2 linked regions of the Styela clava genome follow. The protein of the gene in region 1 interacts with the protein of each later gene in a pairwise test. Links are inferred from orthologs where the notes say so. Each region holds a gene or a part of one and is shown in the gene's direction. Other genes may lie near its edges. The genes, in order: pre-mRNA-splicing factor SLU7-like and peptidyl-prolyl cis-trans isomerase-like 3.

Evidence for each region.
Region 2: the proteins of pre-mRNA-splicing factor SLU7-like (region 1) and peptidyl-prolyl cis-trans isomerase-like 3 interact in binary tests that used the Homo sapiens proteins (3 or more experiments, as listed by UniProt). The link is inferred for Styela clava from reciprocal best matches to the Homo sapiens genes SLU7 and PPIL3.

What each region holds. Positions count from the first base shown.
Region 1 is NC_135250.1:26,647,954-26,655,192, forward strand, and holds the start of pre-mRNA-splicing factor SLU7-like, read left to right. Parts: upstream 1-3,986; 5' UTR 3,987-4,022; coding exon 4,023-5,951; 3' UTR 5,952-7,239. UniProt on the Homo sapiens protein: Required for pre-mRNA splicing as component of the spliceosome. Participates in the second catalytic step of pre-mRNA splicing, when the free hydroxyl group of exon I attacks the 3'-splice site to generate spliced mRNA and the excised lariat intron.
Region 2 is NC_135253.1:5,216,070-5,222,848, forward strand, and holds peptidyl-prolyl cis-trans isomerase-like 3, read left to right. Parts: upstream 1-4,651; 5' UTR 4,652-4,778; coding exon 4,779-5,270; 3' UTR 5,271-6,042; downstream 6,043-6,779. Other genes in the region: large ribosomal subunit protein mL40-like, read left to right, coding at 6,067-6,323, 6,709-6,779. UniProt on the Homo sapiens protein: PPIases accelerate the folding of proteins. It catalyzes the cis-trans isomerization of proline imidic peptide bonds in oligopeptides. May be involved in pre-mRNA splicing.

The sequences.
Region 1 (7,239 bases):
ATCCGTGCAAATATTTTTCTTTTCGTCGTTTCTTTTCTGGTTCGCGTTTGTTTAAAAGCTTTTTTTTTTAATTGATTTACAGCCTTTTTCTTTTCCATATATATGGTTTTCTTTGAAATCACTTACATTGCTTATTGAAAGTGATTCTGAAGATGGTGCGGTATCTGAAACTTTGGTCAAAAATACATGCATAAGTCACAAAACATCATCACAGTGTTTTAGTCCAATTCAGAATTACGCTACTCTTGATTGATCGAACAAACGAAATGCATTATTACTCAAATAAACCAGAGTTTCTAAAAGGTGCACTACAATTATTCGTAGATAGCTGCGCTATTTGTGATGGGATACAAATGATATTATGATTTGGTTTATTACCATTCATTGGTATCAATTTACGATACTGTATTTAATAAAAAAAACAAGCATAGCAAACTCATTTAGTCACCTCCTGGCACAGCTTTCTCCGAATCACTACCCGCATTTCCGTCTGCCAAGTTCTGAAACGTGGGCCATCTCGTTGGAGAGTCACCTAAATGTGAACAAAAAATACAGCCCAGTAAATAACTAGATGAGGATGGTAAAATAACTCAGGGATATGTGCCAAATCACAAAACAAAATTCAAAATTGCTAGCAATGCAATTCTTCAAAACTGTTTTCCGAAGATGAAATATTTTAATCTAATATGGAGCGGTGTATTAGATATTTTTATTTACACCAAACTATACAAACGTCAACCACTCGCTTCTCGTATATCCTTCTTTTTCGACAAAAAATTGAATTCATTGAATTTTCACAATCTTCGTTTGTATTTTCATCTGGATTTGGAATCCTTCTGAATTACACACTCTTACAAACGCAAACCCAGTCGTAGAATTATTTTGATGGTCAGATCAGAACTACGACCAGTAAAAGCATAACAGTATCAGTAGTCTATATTTTGATAATCTGGATTACGTGAAAAATCTCAACACCAAAAATATAGTAACCCTAATATTAAAAATCGTTATGACTAATCACCTCATCCGATGAGTGATGATTTCCAGCAGCATTCCTCGGTGACGTTGAAATCCTTGCTTATTATGACTCGACTTCAACTCACTGGGTAACTGATAACACCTGACACAAAAGACTTGGATCGCTTCTCCAAACACAACTGTTCTATTTTATCTAAATTTCGGCAATCACGCACTCATGAAGATCCCAATCCCCTCACGGCGCCCAGGTTACTTGCGAACAAAACGGCAAACGTGGTAAAGTTCTCGGCGAACCCGACAGTTTTACTATTGCGACACAAAGCCTCTTTAGTACGGAGTTGTGAATTGAGGTCCTTTTCAGTTTATTGAGCTTATATTGCAAAAAACAGAACGGACGATCTTCATGTTCTGCCTGGTTATTGTATCAAAATTATCAAACCTACTCTCCAAAAATCGTAAAAACATATACCGAAAAATTAAAAGATTTTTGCATAAATAAAATGTCCACTTTATGTACGAAAATTAAACCCGTTGATTATAAACCAGCAGAACTACTGTCCCATTAAAGTTGGCGAAAATGTGCAATTATTTGAAAAATATTGAAAGAACATATTATTTTTGATACTGTTTTATCAGAGAAAAAAAGATTTCAGCAAAATATCGCAAAACGTTTTAATTATGGCACGTGGAATAATTAAGCGGACAGGAAAATGTCTACACAATTTTTCCGTCTACATAACTGTCGCTTTTTTAGCACGCTATGTCTACTTAACTACCGTATTAGATATATATATATATATATATATATATATATGTTTATTTACCTCAAAAATGTAGCAGAATCTGCATAATAATTTAACAATATTACAAAGACGGGATACATATTCCTAGATGTGCGACGTACACCCATAAGCATTATCATTGAATCCTATTGGAAATTTTAAAAAAAGTTAACCGATTTATTCATTCTAAATTTACAAATCGAACTAATAAATGTTCAAATTGGTTTTCGGAGCCTGCGACAGAGAAAATATTATCTAAATGCTATTTTATAAACAATAGTAATCGCAACCAATACATACGCGCTAAAAATGAAAAGTTCAATTAATTGCTCGCGCGAAATGCTCGCTCGTGATTTATTATTCATTGTGAGTTTCAAATCTATTAAGAAGGCCATTTAAAATAGTTGCCTAAGGCTGGCCGTACACGGCTGTATTTCGGATTACAGTTCGATGAAGTAAGTTGTCATTGTAATTTGTGTTCGATCAATTTTCTAATTTACTGAAATAAATTGCATTTTTTGGTTTATCGTATATCTTAAGATTTTTTTAACAACACGAAATAAAAGGAATGAATCTGAGAATATGATTTTGCTGAAAAATCGAAGGACAAGAAATACGGAGGAGGTCGAGCGATACGGAATAAAAAAGTATACGTCTCCAATCCATGTTAAACAGCAACATTTTGGTGAAATATCGGAATGAGAAAATTGAGACCGATAACAAGACCAACAACAATTTAGCAATACGATTTCATTTTGGCATTCCTTGCCCGATAACGGGATATTACTTACCGCAGTTAAAGAGTCTCCGGCCAATTGGTTGATCATATTTTATGTGTTCCTACCGGAACAGACCTGTAGTTTTAATAAAAAAAAGTTATTTTATACACATCTATGCCACTTTCAGGTTAATCAGCGAAATGAGGAGGGGGGGGGGGCAAAATAACGTTTTTGTGTTGCGTCACCTAGTGCATTTATTGTCAGTATTGACTGAATAAACGTTTTGGTTTATGGTTTTCTTGCTTCTTCGTTTTTAGTGTTTGGTTGAGGTGAAATCTAGTGTACGATACGGTACCGGTTATATGTCAATCAATCAATGTTAGCCAATGCATATCATTGGTTACGGTAACGTAGTCTTATCTGCATTGGGACTTTTAGTCTTATTTTAAGCTTTATATTTTGGATCTGTAGCCCTGTTTCTGAACTTTTTTGCCCTAACTAGGCCTGTACCTGTATACCCAGATACGGTACCGGTACCAGGATGTTTATTCGATTTTATGTTAATTGCCGAACAGTTGAGTCCATATTTTCATGTAAGCTACAAGGAATGAATCAAGGATTAGAAGCAATTTCTGCATTTATCCTCATATCAAAGTACTGAAGTAGCCTAACTACAGCTACAAGATTTACATTCAAAACTTCAAGAAAACTGTAGTCTATTTCCAAACCTGGCTTTTCAAATAATATTGTACACCAAGACCCAATACCGGTATTAATCCTTTTATTCCACTTCCCCCTGCAGAGAAAGATCTGCTTGTTTACAATTGTTTCATAACTTTGTTCGCTTGTAGCAATACAATACTGTAGACTATTCCAATTTCAAAAATAGCCCCTGCAATGGAAGACATACCGATACTGTATAACTGAACTCATTGGGCGGTAGACCAGTAGGTACGTTACCGTATGGCACAGTTCCCATATTCAAAAAAAGCCCCAATATTAAAAGGCATCAATTAAAACAGTAATGGATCTTCACAAGTCGGTCTGGGCTTCCATATTAGCAAATTGGCCCTGCTCAATAAACGAAAAGGAAGCACAATGTAAAACGTTACTATTGGATTAATCAGAAAATAATTCAATTCACTAAGAGAAAAAAGTTTACTGTAACATCCGAGAGTTATATTATCGGGTCAAGCATAGTGCGAACTGCTGTCTTGCCAGAGGTCCTGGTTCTAGAGACAAAAATAGTGTTTGTTCAATTGAACCAAATGTATTGATGTCATGGAATTGGAGAACTGTGTCCTACTGTAGAATGTAAAGATCGCAGTCGGTCTTGTGAAATATAGTGTGCTGTCTGTTTGTTCTACATCGCTCTTGTGAAATATAGTGTGCTGTCTGTTTGTTCTACATCGCTCTTGTGAAATATAGTGTGCTGTCTGTTTGTTCCACATCGCTCTTGTGAAATATAGTGTGCTGTCTGTTTGTTCTACATCATTATTCTGTTTAAAATCTAACGAATATTTTTTTATTAGAAAATGTAATAATGTCACGTCCAGTTGTATTATCAAAAGAGGTCGCTAAACCTTTGTCAGCGATCGAAAGAGAGAAAAGAAAAAATGAAGAACCAAAGAAACAATCGAGAGAAGAATGGCGGAAAAAGAAAGAACTTGAGGAGGCTCGGAAATTAGGAAACGCTCCAGCAGAAGTCGATGAAGAGGGAAAGGATATCAACCCTCACATTCCGCAATATATTTCTACAGTTCCTTGGTATGTTGACCCCACACAGCGACCGTCATTGAAACATCAAAGGGTACAGCCAGAGACTGTAAAAGAATTCAGTAAAATTAATGATTGGTATCTCCGTGGTGCGTCGACTAAAACTGTAGCGACAAAATATCGCAAAGGTGCATGTGAAAATTGTGGTGCCATGACGCATAAGAAGAAAGATTGTCTAGAACGACCGAGAAAAATTGGGGCTAAATTCACAGGAAATATGATAGCTCCAGATGAACATATACAGCCAGATTTAAATATGGATTTTGACGGAAAACGGGATCGATGGAATGGATATACCGCTGAACAACATGAAGATGTTATTGAAGAATATGCAAAAATTGAAGTTGCAAAACAAGCCCTAAAAGCTCAGAAGTTACAAGAAGAATTATTGAGCGGAAAAATGTCGGAACAATTAGACGATAACGACGATAATCTGAGCGATGATGATAAATATGCTGACGCAGCAGATATGCCTGGACAAAATTTTGACAGTAAAAGGCGAATTACTGTTCGTAATTTACGTATACGAGAGGACACTGCTAAATATTTGAGAAATTTAGATCCAAATTCTGCATATTATGACCCCAAAACTAGGACAATGAGAGAGAATCCTTACGCTAATCAAGGTAAAAATGAAGAAGAGCTAGATTTTGCTGGAGATAATTTTGTACGAGTAACTGGCGATACACAAAAAATGGCTTCAATGCAAATGTTTGCCTGGGAAGCAGCTGAAAAGGGGTCTGGTGTTCATTTACAAGCTGACCCAACACGATTAGAGATGCTGCAAAGAACATATAAAGTGCGGAAAGAGGATTTCAAAAACGACCAAAGAGATTCAATTCTTGATAAGTACGGCGGTGTGGAACATTTAGATGCTCCACCGAAAGAACTATTGCATGCTCAAACAGAAGACTATGTGGAGTATTCAAGACATGGAACTGTTATAAAAGGACTTGAAAAAGCAAAAGCAAAGTCTAAATATATTGAAGATGTTTACTTGAACAACCACACATCTGTTTGGGGTTCTTATTGGAAGGAAGGGCGATGGGGATTCCAGTGTTGCCATTCAACTATCAAACAATCATATTGTACTGGAAATACTCTCAAAGAAGATACAAACGAGATGCCTGAAAAGAAACAAAATCGTATGGAAGCCTTGCAGGAAAAGCATTCTGCTTGGACGAAAGCTCTAGGTTTGGAAAACATCAAGACAGTAGATGGGGCACCACAATTGGAAGAAATCACGGAGATACAAAATGATGAAATTGAAAAAGAGACTGAAACTAAGTCATTGTTACAACAGCACAGAGAAAAATTAGAAAAAGGGAAAGAAAAGAAAAGCAAAAAGAGAAAGAAAAAAAAATCAAAGAAACGGAAAAAGAAAAAAGTGGAAAGCAGTTCAAGCAGTTCGTCGAGTGAAGAGACTTCATCATCGTCAGATTCTGATGAGCCGTCAGAGAAAAGACAACGAAAGAAAATGATTCACGAAGCGGAGAAGGATAAAGAACGTGCGATTAAAAAAGCGATCAAGATAGAAAAAAGTAGACAAAAGGAAGTTGATGAATTGATGAGACTTGATGAACGTAAACGTCCGTATAATAGCATGGTCGAGGTACAAGAACCAACACAAGAGGAATTGGAAGCTTACCATAGGACTAAGAAAAATATGGAAGACCCAATGGCTAAATTTATTTAAGTTATAAATGTGGGTGCAGCACACAATTGGGCAAATTGGCAATGTAATGGCGTACATCCTCTTTATGTAAATTCCATACTTGTTACAAATTAGAGGGTTCAAACCAAAAGGACAAAACCTCAAATAAACTGTTCGGTGAATTTGGGGAAAATACACATATTTTTATGTTTGAATTATATTTTTAATCAAAATACTTTGGTGAATATTGCTTCAAACTGTAATTAGTAAACCAGATGAAAATACATGTATTTCTTTGTAAAATATCAAATATAAGTTTTTCAAAACTTAGGAGTTGCACTTTTGCCTTGAAACGCTCTAATTTGTGCATCAGTTTTGACATCTACGGTAAATATCACTGAATACTGAATTTCTGAATTTTATCAAAAGTTGAAAGTTTGCTCAAAACAAGGTCATGTGTACTCACTCAAAAGTAAAAAATGATGGTTCATAGGAAATTGAAATGAAACATGAGTATACTTTATTAGGACGTTTTTTAGATAAAACTCCACTGAATTATACTAATTCAATAATTTACTATTTCGAATGTTCGATTTGTTTCAGACATCCTTATATGTGTAGGCCTAACTATGTATAATTGTATCTCTTTAATGTGTTAAATTAGATTCGCCATTCCTGTTATAAAGCATGACCATTTATTCTGATGTGAGTATATATTCTGGCTTTATTCAATGGATTGTATTGTTCTGTAAAAACTCATTCTCTTCTGTCTTGTTGTAAATATTATACAATATGTTTTCAATGGACGAATGTGAAATCTTTAACAATATTAGAGGCAGTAGTCCTAAATCTTCCATGATCCTTGGATCCATTTCAAAGACTCGAAACACTCCATATCAACAACCCTCAGAAAAAACAATGCTGTGTCCCTGTACAGGGGCTGATGGTTCATGTTGAGAAACCCTGATTTAGGCTTGTGTTTGGGAATTTGGAAACATATTTCTAATCATGGCGGAAAAGACCCCCCCCCCCCCCCCCCCCGCAGACCACACCCCCACCCTTACATTAAATTTCCTGTCCCAAGTGGGGATTTCAATTTGTTCGAGATATGTGAAATTGTTTGTTGAGAGAAGTGATAAACTAACCGTGCTTTTACACATAATTACCACTCAAGGTTCGCTATGAAAAGAGAGTATTGTGCGATTGCAATTTTTTTTAGCTCAGTCATCCAGCTGGCCTCCTGGCAAGTTTTCTGTGAAAATATTCCTAATTTTCAAAAACTTGTCTTATTATCTTGATTATGTAATTAGTTTTAAATTGCTTGTGTACT
Region 2 (6,779 bases), on another chromosome or scaffold:
TTATTACTGCATTTTATTTAATTCACAGATAATTCAAATCATTTATGGATATGAATGTTCAACTTCAAATGAAACAAAATTATGCAGAAATTCCATATTTTTGGATTTTTAGAAATCTGTTCCATCACAAAGACGATAATCTCTGCAGTCGCATCCACACGGTGTCTGAAAATAGTTAAGAATTTCAGAACCATTTTAATATTATCAATATTACAAATAGAAGGCTCAAGACAATCAAGCATCGGATATGCGGAATAATAGTGCTTAAATAAAAGCGCAGTAAAATCCAAAGGATCTACGATTACGCCACGATCTCAAAAACTTCCAGCTGACAGACCAGCAAATCTTTCTCACTTTGAAGTAATTTCTGCTAAAATAAATGTTTTGTAAAATTGCTCGTTTAATAATTTAATTTTACGACCCCAAGAGCACTGCGTGAGCTTATCTTTGGTGTCAAGTGATTTTACAAATTTGAGTTTTTAAAATATTCGGGTCGATTGAATAAGCATTGAACTAATCAATTACGATAACTACGAATCTTCATAACATCTCCTTCGTATAGCTTTCCGTGTTGGTACATTGTGTGTATTACACGGAAGCACCAGATAGTGAAACATTCACACGATGATTTTTCGACGTCTTCATCCTATTCATGTCGTAGGATACAATTCAAATTTTTTCTTCGGAGTTTCCGGATACAAATGTAGTTTCTCATCTTTTGGTGTTTCCTTGTTATAACGGAGTTTATAAGCTTACAGCTTGATTTCGTTTTTTTTTAAGTAGGCCACGAACCACCGATACTAATCTTTTTATACTGTGGTATAAGGTATGGTATTTCCTTTTCCTGAAAAAATAAAGAGAGTTAGCGGAATACCATGGCCTGTTTAAGATTCTGGAATGTGGATGGAATTAGGAATGCTAAATAAACCTGGGTTGACCAGCATTATTTTGCTGCCAAGTCTGTATTGAGGCTCTTTATGCCACAATTGTGTGGGATTAACAAGCGAGACCAGTTGATTGAATCGTTCATCCTGGCAAGCAACTATTATGGTGTTTGTACAAGGAACACCCATTCCACCTATAGATTCATCGTTCCGGGGGATTCGCCTGCCTAAAACTTCCATGGGCTCAGAGGTCCAGAGAAAAGAAAATATTTCCCTATCTATATATTTAATTGTGTGAGGTGGTATTTCTACCGACCTCGCACTATAGATGAATTGAGACAAGATCAGGGAATTGATTACCAAGATCTTGCCGTGCCAAGATAGAGATCGGGTCCTATCAAAGTTAATATTGTTTTCTATCTTGGAGATTTTTCACCCCAAGTTAAATTGACTCGGTTCCTTCCAAAATGATTACCCGGGATTTTTATATGATCTTTTACAAATACATAATAGGGCAAATAAGAAATCATTTCTTTCGCCCTATCGTTTGTACAAAGAACGGTGTTTTTAGCTTTATTTATTCCTGAAAAATAGCATCGATCGAGTATATGTCCGACACAATAAAGTTTGTGTCGTACGGATACTGAGCTAGTTTATGTGTGTAATTACCTATTCTTATGCATTTAATCCTGTTTTTTGTCGTTATAAGACGGCTAAGCGGCTCCACATTGATGATGTAGATGCGGTGTTTCCAGACCTTCTTTCACCCACGTACCATTGCGAGGTTTTATGTATATGCAATGCTCGCGTACCACCTACAAAAGTTACGCGCGTCGAAGACAGTCAAAATTTTCCCATCTTTTATGACGTACTCACAGCGCATTTTATCTATGTGAGGTGTAATAACAAATTCTATCAAACTAAGCAGCATGCATAGACGCAATCATTAGAGATAAGAATCTACGCTAGCACTCTCACGTAGAAGGGCAAATTTGCAGTTGGGGAATAGCGTGAGAAGTCAGCGACGAGTTCGAAGACACCATGTTAAGCCAGAAGTTTATCGGTGAGCAATCCTTGTGTTTTGTCTTTGCTGTTCACAAATTAGCTAAACAGCCGACTATTTAAAGCTGAATCCTAACCTGAGTTCAGGTTGTGCGCCATCTTGGCGCGCATACTTCAGGAGGTCCAAATTTACTATTTTGATAATGCAGTTCAAGCACGATAGCAACTTCAGTGGAAGCACTGATCATTTCGAGTAATATCCGAGATAACTATGATGAACCATGTCAAACGCCTTGAGAATATCAATAGAAACTATGAAATAAAGAATTTCTGGGGCTTATGAGGCGTTGGGTCAAGAGTTTTGTTATGACGTTGTAGCCGACGTTTAGATTTGAAATAGGTGGCCAATTTTTTCACAAATCTAAAGCGTCGGCTTTCTTATAAATTGACACTTACTATTGCTATCAAGACAACGAAATCGCCTTTCTATCAGTAAACGGGGTGATTTAAGATTGTGACTGACGAAAATGTCACCTAATAATAAATAAAACTTGCTGAAGAACACCAAGCTCTTTAAAAAACACTATAAATATTATTTGTCTTCTTATTTGGTCAGTAATGTAATCGTTTCTGACTTCACATTTTTTGTAGTGCTGGGGGGGGCGAAGAAGTTGTAAAAACTACTGTAGGGGGGCGATAGTACAAAAAGTTTGGGAACCACTGCTGTATATGATTCGCAATTAAATATACAGTTTACTTGTTACATAGTGGGTTTTACAATATAAGGAGGTCATTACTTGAAATAGACTAGAAAATGGATTACACAATTGAATATAGCCTACATTTCATCACTTATTACACAATGAATTTTAACAATATAAAAGGTTATAAAGTTAATTTATGAAATAGAACCAAGGAAAAAAGAGACAGTGACAATCACTGAATACTGTAGGCTATATTGGCTACCGACATTCATAAGTACCTATTGATACATACTTGAGAAATGAAATGTTAATACATGATCCACAATTAAATAAGCAATTAATAAAGGTATTTATCACTTTTTACACAATGATTTTTAACAATATAAAAAGAGGTGCTCCCGAAGTATGCGAACCAAGATGGCGGACATCGGAACGTAACATGGGTAACAGGTTAGGGTTAGGCGATTGATTGGTTATTGAATTGATTTACAACATTCATAAGTATTGATCGGTATGTTAGTCGTTGGTATTGATACATATTGAAAAAGAACTGAAATATTAATATATGATCCGCAATTAGGTATGCACGGTATGTTAGTCGTTGGGTATGCATGATTAAATATACAGTTCCCTTGTTACACAATAAGTTTAACAGTATAGGAAGATTATTTTAAGACTGGAATATTACTGTATGATCCATAATTAAATTGTTGGTCATGAATTGTTTGAACATAATGGACCTTTCCCCGAGCATCGACTTCTTCGTTTACTTCGTGACATTGGCCAATCAGCAAGATGCAAAAAGTGACGTAACAAAGCCCCCTTTTCGCATCCGCTCAGACACTTTTCGCACTCAGACATATTTTCAAACGTGGTTGTAAACATCACCTCGTTTTCGCGTTTTTGAACTCTATTCGTTAGTTTTCAGTTGTGTTTCGGAAAATTAAATAAAAATCAGATAATTCAATGATCACTCTGTCTTCCTAGGAGTTTTAATTTAATTGCAGTAGCCTAATAAAAATTAGTGTAGAAATACCTGTAGCTGTGATAGACTAGCCTGAAATTCTTTACCGGTAGGAAACTTTTAATAAACAGATTGTTGTGTGCGATGGATCATAATCATGGTTTGAAACACATACCCCATTTTACAGGTGCCAACTCGCAAAAGCACTCCTAAAATAGTACTGAAAATTTTGCAATGGTACCGTACCGGTAAAGGTACCGTATAGGAGGAATTTCCGGGGGTTAAAGGTCCATGGGATTTGGAATCTACCCAATAAAATAACACTCTGAATAGCGATAGGCCTACCACTGAAGTGAAAAAAAAGGAGGCCACGGGCCATACGGTAGAAGGTCGAGAACAGCACTACTGCACTGTCATATAGCATAACGTAATCTCCAGCTGGCCGGTTGGTTTTCTTCACCTTTCACGATTGGGGGTAGTTTATAGCGTGAATATTGTCGTGGTTGAGTTAGCTCATTTAATGGATATGATAGGATTTACATATTTATTTCAATCGTTTGATCGAATTATCCCAATTTTCCTCAAAAACATCTTTACATTGATTTGTTTTGAATAGTCCTGATACTAAAATGCATACAGTAGTTATTTTGACTGCTGAAATTTTGAAATACATTATTTTCAAATATCATTTGAACTGATTCTTCAGAAAAATGTTTTAATGAGATAATGTGAAAACTCGAAAGGAATAAATCTTGTATTCGATATACTTGCAGTTCTGGCATGAATTAGGCTATAGTAGTTATTAGTATTTTATATTTTTCAACTATATTCAATTCAAAAACACATTTCAATTCTGGGCCAAAGTTATATCAGATGGCTTCTAAATGCCAAGGGAAGATTCAGCGCTGTTTCAGAAAAAAATGTTGCGCAATAATCAATTATATACAATTGATGGTTCGTTACCGGTAAATAGTATGGTTTCATTGATTTGAATATCGAAGTATCAACAAGATATAGATATGCATTTTTAATTTATATACTGAAAGATTAATTTTGATGCATACATTTCCAGTTGACTCAGTTCTGCAGTTATGAATAAGATTATATATTTATCTCAATGGGGGATATAAAGCCAATTACTGCATTCAATTCATGACATTCGACTTTTAACTAGTTCTTTATGCTTTTTGCAGTTGAAATTGATTACAAAAACTTATAAAAATAATGTCAGTGACGTTGCACACAGATCTTGGGGATATAAAAGTTGAACTTCATTGCGAACAAGCACCGAAGTCATGTGAAAATTTCCTAGCCTTATGTGCTAGTAACTATTATGATTCGTCTTTGTTTCATCGTAATATAAAAGGATTCATGATACAGACTGGCGATCCCACAGGTACAGGGAAAGGTGGGACAAGTATATGGAATAGAAAATATGAAGATGAAATTTGCGAATCATTAAGACATAATAGTCGTGGTGTAATTTCAATGGCAAATAGTGGACCAAATACGAATGGATCACAATTTTTTATTACATATGGAAAACAACCACATTTAGACACAAAATACACAATCATAGGTCGTATTATTGACGGACTTGAGATTCTGGACGACCTTGAAAAGCTTCCTGTGGAAGAGAAAACATACAGACCCATGACTGATGTTAGGATACAAAGAGTAACAATTCATGCTAATCCTATTGCTGATGCATGTTAATACAGCAATAAAAATTCTGAATCAGGATTAGTTTTGGTTTCTGCTTACTTAGTACTAAATTGATTCCTCGCTACCAAAAATCTGGGAAACCCTTGGGCATATTTTCCAATAGATAGATAGAAGTGCCAATGTTGCAGTGGATAGATTTGAGTTTGAAGTATTTTCAATTTAGCATGTTATTATGATTGTGGTATCTTTGCATATGTAAGGGATATGTTTGAACAAACAATTAGAAATGTAAACCGTTTTTACATGATCCAAAGTGCCAATAAAACTGAATATTCAGGGATGCCCAAAATGGATCAAATTGATTCAAGATAAATATATTCAATATTTTGAATTCTTGATAATTAGTAATTACAAATGTTATTCAATTTGGAAATTTTCTTCAATTGAAGTCTCACAGTATTTCATTTATTCCCAAATGTAATAAATACGAAACCAAACATACCAATGTTCATCTTAACTCTCATGTACCCATGACTTTGTATTCTTGTTTAACATCACCCAACTTAGAGTGTATTCAGAATAGTAAATCGTTCTGGTCTGGGCCATCCCCTTAAATCCATTTTCTTGACATCATTTCTTGCATGGGATTTTGTTATGTACATCGTACAATCTGGGATAATTTTTTAAAGAAATTTATAATATATTTTCCTTTTGTGCATGTTCTGCTAACTGTAATATACAGATTGAACTAGAGAGGTCTGGCTGTTTCATGGAATTATTTTCACACAAAACTGCTAATACGGTATGTTTTTGTATTCTATAGTATGCAATTTAGTTGTTTATAACAATGAGTTTATGGGGACGTTTCCTTCGTGAAGCATCTGAAACCACTTGCTATACAAATATTTCAAAAAAATTTATATCAACATCATGTATGGCAAATGCTGGCTTTCAAGGGCGATCAGGGATCAGTGCATCTTCCGAAATGAGACAGAGTCAAATAACAAGAAAAAGACGTGTTATTTTGAAACTTGAAAAAATGCCTCTCCAACAAAAACCAGTTCAGGACTTTCAAATTAAATATTCATGGAAAACAGAACCACGGTAACACTATTTTTTGTATATGAACTGACTGGTTTCATGCTGTATGTAAAATTACAATAAAGTTAATGATAACAGTATTTGAATATTTCACACATTTTATCCCAGGGAGAGGAACTCCGATAACATGACTTAATCATATGGCGAACCCTTTCATTTGGTTACCACTACCAGTCCATATCAGGTATGGTATTAGTTAGTCAGTTCTTTGTTTCAGATGTATGGACTTGATGGAGAAAGAAGCCATAATGAGGGAGATATGGTAGGAGTGATTGAAGGTGAAATCTAACTCTTAGCACAATGTGCCTCCACTGAGCGTCATTATAATGACGATTTTTTCATTACCTCTAATTTGAGCTACAGATTTCAATGGTATGCTGTTGTTTAGGCAAAGATCTCTTGAGCCGCTCACCGCAGAAGAATTGGAGCGAAGAATATTATTACAAAAAGAATGGAGTA